Daphnia pulex: one gene and its partner. The protein of the gene in region 2 purifies or fractionates together with the protein of the main gene of each other region. This does not show direct contact. Links are inferred from orthologs where the notes say so. Each region holds a gene or a part of one and is shown on either strand. Other genes may lie near its edges.

Region 1 (3,651 bases), on a different chromosome or scaffold from region 2:
ATTACAATAAAAGATAAGTTACCGTGATTTTCTGGCCAGCTGAGAGAAATTAATACAGCGCTAGCTATTAGAAAGGGGATGGCAGTCATGAACGGAGCTACAGGACCAAAATTAAGCCAATCAGCTCCAATATCGGCAACAACACCAGAAAGGATTGCTAAAATTCCGTTCCAAAATGTAGATATTGAAAATGTTGAAGAGATCCAGTCGGCGGGAAACACATTTCTTTCCGTGTGTTCACACACATACCATGCCTCGAAAGTGGAAAATAGAATGGACGTGGCAACACCACCTGTTAAAAACATATTAGAAGTTGCCGTTTTAAGTATGCCAACATATTGGCGGTAAAAAGTAATTACCGAACAAGCGACCAGCGAACAACCACCAGAAATTCGGACTCATCTTTGTGAGGCAACAAAATGTATAAATAAAGCAAAAAGCTAAACAGAGACGTCTACGACCGAACATGTCAGCCAAGGGCCCAGTAAAAGTTCCAACCGTAGAACTTGCAGCAAATCCAACAATATATCTAAAATAACACAAATACACAAAACCAAAAAGAATATTTCATATACATTGAAACACAAAACAATATGGAAATAAAATTTGAATAGATAATACATATCACAGGAAGTGAATAAAAATACTTACAGCAATGCAATCTCTTTAGGAGCATATCCATACTGACTGTAAAGCCTGTAGACATATGGACCTTGAAGCCAATCAGAGAAAAGTGCCAAGAGATATGGTGCAAAAAAAATTCTTTGGAACTTTTGGAACTCTGGGTTGAGCGAAGCTACCAGTTGTGATTTTGTTCTAGAAGCAATCCATTGGGCAACAAAACAAACAAGGACCAATGATCCCAAAATTGTGACAACAAATTCCTTCATTCTGGACTGGAATATGTGATGCCTGAATTTCGATAAGGAGGTACATGTAAAGAATAGATTTTGTATTTAAAAAATGAAACATAAAACAGAATGAAAATATTTTACCTGCAATTAAATAGTCAGTACTATTTGTACTGGATCTGCTGTACCAGTTAACACAGCTCTAGTGTGATCTGTGATGTTTGTCTATTCTTCTCAACTTCCCTAGTTATCCCTAAACAACATAAACTCTTCAATTTGCTTCAAGAAGAAATCTCCATTCAAAAGTACGTCTCTTAACAATTTTCCACCAAAGAAATGCCACGTATAACACTGCATATGTAAACCGACAAGAGTTTACAATATGCCGCGTCAGCACGTTTGAAAATTCGTGAAAACGCGTACTTGGTGGACGAGCGTCTCAGTATAGAGTGCCACAGTTTGGATTGCCACGGCTTCATGTGTATTTTTTTGTTTTTTTTTTACAAGATAACAACATCAGCTGTTGTTGAAGTGTCGAAAAATCCTGTTTCTAATATTATCTTTGTTCTCTAGATGTCGTATGTAAGTTTAATTGCTCACCACTAGGGTCGCATTCTTCTGCGATCTTCTGCTGCACGTGTGGCTGAAGTGTGTAACGTTCTTCGTTCTCGGCATTTTTGCTTTATTTTTTCAATCAAATTTGGTATGTAAGTAGAAAACATTGCGCAATTTCGCAATTTAGTTAAAATTCTAAAAATTTTTGTCAAAGTTCTATTATGCCTAACGTTTCAAGAAAAGTAGAAATTTAAAAAAATTGTGCCTATATCCTAATGCTCAATAAAGTTAAGCTGGCTGCCACACATTGTTACATCATACATGTTAAATATGTGTGTTTTTTTTTTTATTATACACTTTTCAGATTGTTACTCACATTAATTCATAAAGATCATGGCTGCTCAATTTTTTAATCGAATTAGTCAACTGGGTGTTGGAGTTGCCTTAACTGCTGGAGTTATTAATTCCGCATTGTACAATGGTGGGTTGTTTTACTGTTTTTATTAGTAGATCTTCTGTAGTTTTCTTTTTTATTATTTTTATATTTTTCACATTCATATTATTCTACATTCTAGTTGAGGGAGGCCACAGAGCTGTTATTTTTGATCGTTTCTCTGGTGTGAAAAATGAAGTAGTAGGAGAAGGCACACATTTTTTTGTTCCTTGGGTGCAGAAGCCAATCATCTATGACATTAGGTCCCGACCAAGGAATGTACCAGTTATCACTGGCAGCAAAGGTAAATGAAATTTTAAAAAATTGTACAGCTAACATCATTAAGGGTTTTTATTTTAGATCTTCAAAATGTAAACATTACTTTGCGTGTCCTGTTCAGACCTGTCCCAACTTCTCTCCCTAATATCTACAGCACCTTGGGCATTGATTATGATGAGCGTGTGCTCCCCTCTATTACAAATGAAATCCTGAAAGCTGTTGTTGTAAGATTATATATTATTTTTTTTTTTTTCATCCTAAGCATTATAAATGATTTTTAAATGTTTTCTAGGCCCAGTTTGATGCTGGAGAATTGATCACTCAGCGTGAAGTCGTATCCCAGAAAGTTAGCGAAGCTCTAACGGAAAGAGCTGGACAGTTTGGCTTAATCTTGGACGATATCTCCATTGTAATGTTATTTCAGTTATATGCTACGATCACTTAGTATAATTCGTTATTCCTTTGACAACAGACGCACTTGACTTTTGGCAAAGAATTTACCCAAGCTGTTGAGTTAAAACAAGTTGCACAACAAGAAGCTGAACGAGCTCGTTTCCTTGTAGAAAAAGTAAGTTTTACTAATTATGTTAAATTTCTGAATCATATAATCACGTATTTTTTTTTTAGGCCGAACAATTAAAGAAAGCTGCAGTCATTTCAGCAGAAGGTGACTCCCAAGCCGCTTCTCTTTTGGCCAAAGCCTTTGGTGATGCTGGTGAAGGTCTCGTCGAACTTCGACGAATTGAAGCTGGCGAAGATATTGCTTACCAATTGTCCAAATCTCGAAATGTTGTCTACCTGCCAAATGGCCAGCAGACGCTTTTGTCGCTACCGCAGTAACGAATTTAGTCCTATCAAGTTTTTGTATCGTATGGGGCGAAAAAGGTTTCGGTACGAGGTCAGTTAATAAGTTATTAGCACATTTTTCTGAATGCTATTTCATTGACTGGTCACGTTTCGAAAAAAAAACTAATCATTCGATGTTTCCGTAGACACTTGTCATCTATTCATAGAAATACAATAAATAATTGTATGTTGTTCCATTTTAAAGTCGTGTGTAAGCATAAGGAGGGAACGAGACGACACGACGAAAGAAAAAACTGTCAAAATGGTACATAAACTAAAGAGTCGTATGAAACATTTTTCTTAGCAAGGTTATTTGAAGAAATCTTGAATGATGTGAGAAGAAGAGAAAAAAAATTTGTTCTTGAAATACGTTAACAGAAAATTATTGCATTGGTTGTGTTCATACAGCGGAAATAGTGGACCTGCGAACAGCGGCACTTAACACCGGATTAGGATCTGGTTCTTCGTGGATGATAGACACTTCCGACCACTCTCGCATCTTGCTGGATCTTTTAACGGCGTCGATGACTGCCATAACATACTGTCCGTCTTCAAAAGTAGCAGCGGAAGAAACAGCGTCTTTAATCCATCCACTACGATCCTCAACGCGGGAAAACGCATCCCTAAGAGCCGACACCTGTTTAACAATCGTACATTTGATTACACGTAGATTGGTAGAATTCACTT
Region 2 (3,939 bases):
GTGAAGTAGACTTCTCCGACTAGTTGCGCTTGGAAACGCCCTTTTAGGAACTGGCTGTAATCTACGTAATTGAAAAGAAAAATGGCACATTTATTTCCGATGTTTCATCATGAAAAATTATAAAAACTCACCTGTTCGGCGGACGTGCACTCCTACCTTGAATATTATAAAACAATTAATAGATTTGAAAAAAAAAATCTTTTCGATAAATTTAAATAACTTACAAAAACAACGTTTTGGCGATTTTCTCTGAGTCGATATAATTCTGCTTGTGCTCGTTCAACGAACTGCTTCTTAAATCGAAATTCCTTCATGATTTCATTCCGATGACGATGAAAAAGAGACACCGATGTAGGATAACCATCAATGTAGATGCCTTCTTCAGCAATTTTCGAGCGCTCACCCTTGTTCAATTTGTTGTAGACATGTAAATTCATAGAGTTCCACACGAGTGAACAATTTAGGTTGACAATTGTGGGAATTGAAGTTTCAAGGAAGTATTTGGTCAATGTGGTATAAGTTCGATGCTGCAAAATGGGGAAAAGGCCATCTCTCTTAGCTAATGCCCACAGTGTGGCATATTCTCCCATAAGATTTCCTAGGCGGCCTCCAGATTTGACTGTCAAAATACCACCTTTCCCACAAATGAAAGTTGAATTCTGGAAGTGCAATTGATGATTAAGGCTGGGATTGTTTGAAGTTAAAAGATTTTTGTGGGGTAATTTAATGACTGGCTTGACGTGGAATGATTGATTATTTGAGATTTCGTTGATTGGTGCGACAAGTTTGACATCCTTTTCTTTTTTTAGCTTCCATGGATCTTGAGTGAGAAAATTACTTGTTCGACAAGAGAGTATCAGAAAGAAAGCGAATCCAATCAGGAGTAGAGAAAACACTGTCCGTTTTATGTTGCATCTAGGCATTCTTCTTCCATTATTTTAATTGCATTAGAAAAATTGTTAATGAGTATGATATCATTTGTAAACAAATCGCGGATGCCTGAAAATACAAGGAATGTTATGATTACAACTGCATAGGGAAATTTAAAAAACTGTTTACCTTATTTTCTGAAAGAGATGACGACAAATATTAAAACAGTTGTTGAAATCATTGCAATTTCCTGTGCGTATCTTCTGTAACTCCTAGTTTTGTTTTTAGTTTTTTTACATGAAATAATTAGGGGGTGGATACCACCGGAAGACTTGACTAACAAAGTCTCGACTCGACTTTGACTGGACTGTAAACCGGATGGCTGAGAGCCAGATCAGCCAGACAAAAAAAGAAATGATTGTTCACAGCACATGCTGTCTGATGCGCGGAAAGACAAAAGTAGCTAGTTACCAATTGTACTCCTAGGTATCGCTGTTCGGTAAATGTGCTACTTCAGAGCCATCTAGCAACTAAATGTTACATTCGGGAATTTTTTGTGTATTTCTCTGAAGAAAAATGTCTGCCGTTATTGGACTTGGGTTGAAAAAGGGAACTATTTCCCTAATTAATTCTGCACCAAAGTCTCTGTTACCCCATTTTTCCTTAGGATTCTTTGCCAAGTAAGATTTGTGTTTAATTTATTTTAAATGGTCTGCTCAGCAACTTTATTTACATGAACCTAAACCCTTACATAATTTCTTGTAGGTAGTGGGTTATTCTTTCTTTCGTGTCGGTAAATGATTTTGTTTTCTTTTGCAGCCCACGGCGACATGGGGCAACATGGAATCCTGATATGGAATATTACAAACAATATGATATGCCATGTCTAATTCCGCAAACCAAAGCAAATGTATGGAAAATGCCTCCTTTAAACCACTATGAAGCTCCAGTAGAGAAATCGGTCACCAATATCAACCTTAATTTTGGTCCACAACATCCAGCTGCCCATGGTGTATTACGTTTAGTCTTGGAACTTGATGGAGAAGTAAAAACCGATTTTTTCTCTTTTTAGTGTGACTGCCTTTGTATTCACATTACCATTACTTTTTCATTTGATAGACTGTTGTCAGAGCTGATCCTCATATCGGCTTGCTGCACAGAGGTACAGAAAAGCTGATTGAGTACAAAACTTACACTCAAGCTCTTCCCTACTTTGACCGTTTGGACTATGTTTCGATGATGGGAAATGAGCAATGCTATTCACTGGCTGTTGAAAAATTGTTAAACATTGACGTCCCACTAAGAGCCAAATATATTCGAGGTGAGGAGTTATTTTTATCGCAATTCTAAATATCATATGACTAATGACATTTTTAAAAAATATTTCTCAATTATTTAGTGCTCTTTGCCGAACTTACGCGCATTCTAAATCACTTGATGCAAATCGGTACTCACGCCTTGGATATCGGTGCTTTGACGCCCTTCTTTTGGCTGTTCGAAGAGCGTGAGAAGATGATGGAATTCTACGAACGTGTATCAGGAGCTCGCATGCACGCTGCCTATGTTCGCCCAGGAGGAGTGGCTCTGGTAGAATTTTCTTTTCAAATGTCCACTAAAAACATTTCTCTTATCGCCAACGTTTTGATCTTGACAGGACCTCCCGTTGGGTCTCATGGATGACATCTACGAGTTTTCCAGCAAATTCGGAGAACGTATCGATGAAATGGAAGACGTTTTGACTGCCAACCGCATTTGGAAACAGCGAACCGTCGACATTGGTATCGTTTCCGCCGAAGACGCACTTAATTACGGTTTCAGTGGTGTCATGTTGCGCGGATCTGGAATCAAGTGGGACCTGAGGAAAACTCAACCTTACGACGCCTATGATTTGGTTGAATTTGACGTTCCCGTGGGACTAAAAGGCGACTGCTATGACAGGTAATGTCACATCACCTCGTCTTCGCAGCACAAGATAATAAATTTCATAATTTTCTTAGATACCTGTGCCGTGTTGAAGAGATGCGGGAATCTCTCCGCATCATCGAGCAATGCCTGAATAAAATGCCGGTGGGTGAGGTCCGTGTTGACGATGCCAAAATCATGGCGCCCAAGCGATCCGAAATGAAAACGTCGATGGAAGCTCTCATTCACCATTTCAAGTTGTTCACACAGGGCTATAACGTTCCTCCAGGAGCCACTTACACGGCTGTAGAGAATCCCAAAGGTATCTTGTTATTATCTATTGGCTTAAACCAAATTTCAATCTAATTCGTTGTTGATTTCCAGGTGAATTTGGTGTGTATCTCGTTTCTGACGGTTCTTCACGCCCATATCGCTGCAAAATCAAGGCGCCAGGTTTCGCCCATCTGGCCGCGTTGGAGAAAGTCGGCCGCAACCACATGCTCGCCGATATTGTCGCCATCATTGGTTCGTTTTTAATTATATGCAGATTTCGTCCTGGAATATATGACCGTCTAATTAAATTTGATTCGCAGGTACACTGGATGTGGTTTTTGGAGAAATTGATCGCTGAATGTGTTCCACGCCCTCTTTATCTCCACACCGGTGACTTGAATAACTGGAAATGGAGTTTGTATATGTAAAGCCGAGTTGAATTAGGTGATTATATAATACACATACAGTGGTTGAAATGTGTATGGGAAAATTTAATTCAACCTCTACCATGAAACTCTTGACTTTAGTTGACGTAAAATGCTATTCATGTTCAAGTTTTAAGCAGAAATGGTTCGAAAATGTATTCATTTTCCTCCTGGTTTCGTGTTGTGATGACTTAGAAACACGATCATTGGATATTAGAGAACCCCAGTCAAAGTAATTCGTGGGCGGATAGGTATATTCAGCCTTTTTATTATTTCTTCAAGGAAATAAAAGTAGATTTTCTGTTTTCTTTTAATTATTTTTCTTATTCAGAAAATCTTTGGGTTTTCCTCCTTTTTGGCGCTTTCTTTAATAGGGTCGAGGCGTAATCTCGGTAATGGTGCCTTTTAGCTTTTTCGTACACGCGAGAGTCATGTGCATTTGAGCTCCATTACTTGGTTGCATGACACC

What was found.
Region 1: the proteins of NADH-ubiquinone oxidoreductase 49 kDa subunit-like (region 2) and protein l(2)37Cc-like purify together in Homo sapiens (affinity purification with mass spectrometry; 3 studies listed by BioGRID and IntAct, with this or other methods). This does not show direct contact. The link is inferred for Daphnia pulex from reciprocal best matches to the Homo sapiens genes NDUFS2 and PHB1.

The regions. Positions count from the first base shown.
Region 1 is NC_060020.1:1,678,407-1,682,057, forward strand, and holds protein l(2)37Cc-like, read left to right. Parts: upstream 1-1,416; 5' UTR 1,417-1,554; exon of another isoform or gene 1,555-1,558; intron 1,559-1,770; 5' UTR 1,771-1,799; coding exon 1,800-1,887; intron 1,888-1,981; coding exon 1,982-2,143; intron 2,144-2,199; coding exon 2,200-2,342; intron 2,343-2,410; coding exon 2,411-2,527; intron 2,528-2,590; coding exon 2,591-2,686; intron 2,687-2,745; coding exon 2,746-2,958; 3' UTR 2,959-3,151; downstream 3,152-3,651. Other genes in the region: molybdate-anion transporter-like, read right to left, coding at 23-292, 360-529, 652-890; glucose-fructose oxidoreductase domain-containing protein 2-like, read right to left, coding at 3,365-3,601.
Region 2 is NC_060021.1:394,679-398,617, forward strand, and holds NADH-ubiquinone oxidoreductase 49 kDa subunit-like, read left to right. Parts: upstream 1-1,347; 5' UTR 1,348-1,446; coding exon 1,447-1,550; intron 1,551-1,689; coding exon 1,690-1,915; intron 1,916-1,989; coding exon 1,990-2,191; intron 2,192-2,269; coding exon 2,270-2,457; intron 2,458-2,524; coding exon 2,525-2,808; intron 2,809-2,867; coding exon 2,868-3,094; intron 3,095-3,156; coding exon 3,157-3,297; intron 3,298-3,365; coding exon 3,366-3,403; 3' UTR 3,404-3,439; downstream 3,440-3,939. Other genes in the region: galactoside alpha-(1,2)-fucosyltransferase 2-like, read right to left, coding at 1-61, 132-156, 225-923. UniProt on the Homo sapiens protein: Core subunit of the mitochondrial membrane respiratory chain NADH dehydrogenase (Complex I) which catalyzes electron transfer from NADH through the respiratory chain, using ubiquinone as an electron acceptor. Essential for the catalytic activity of complex I.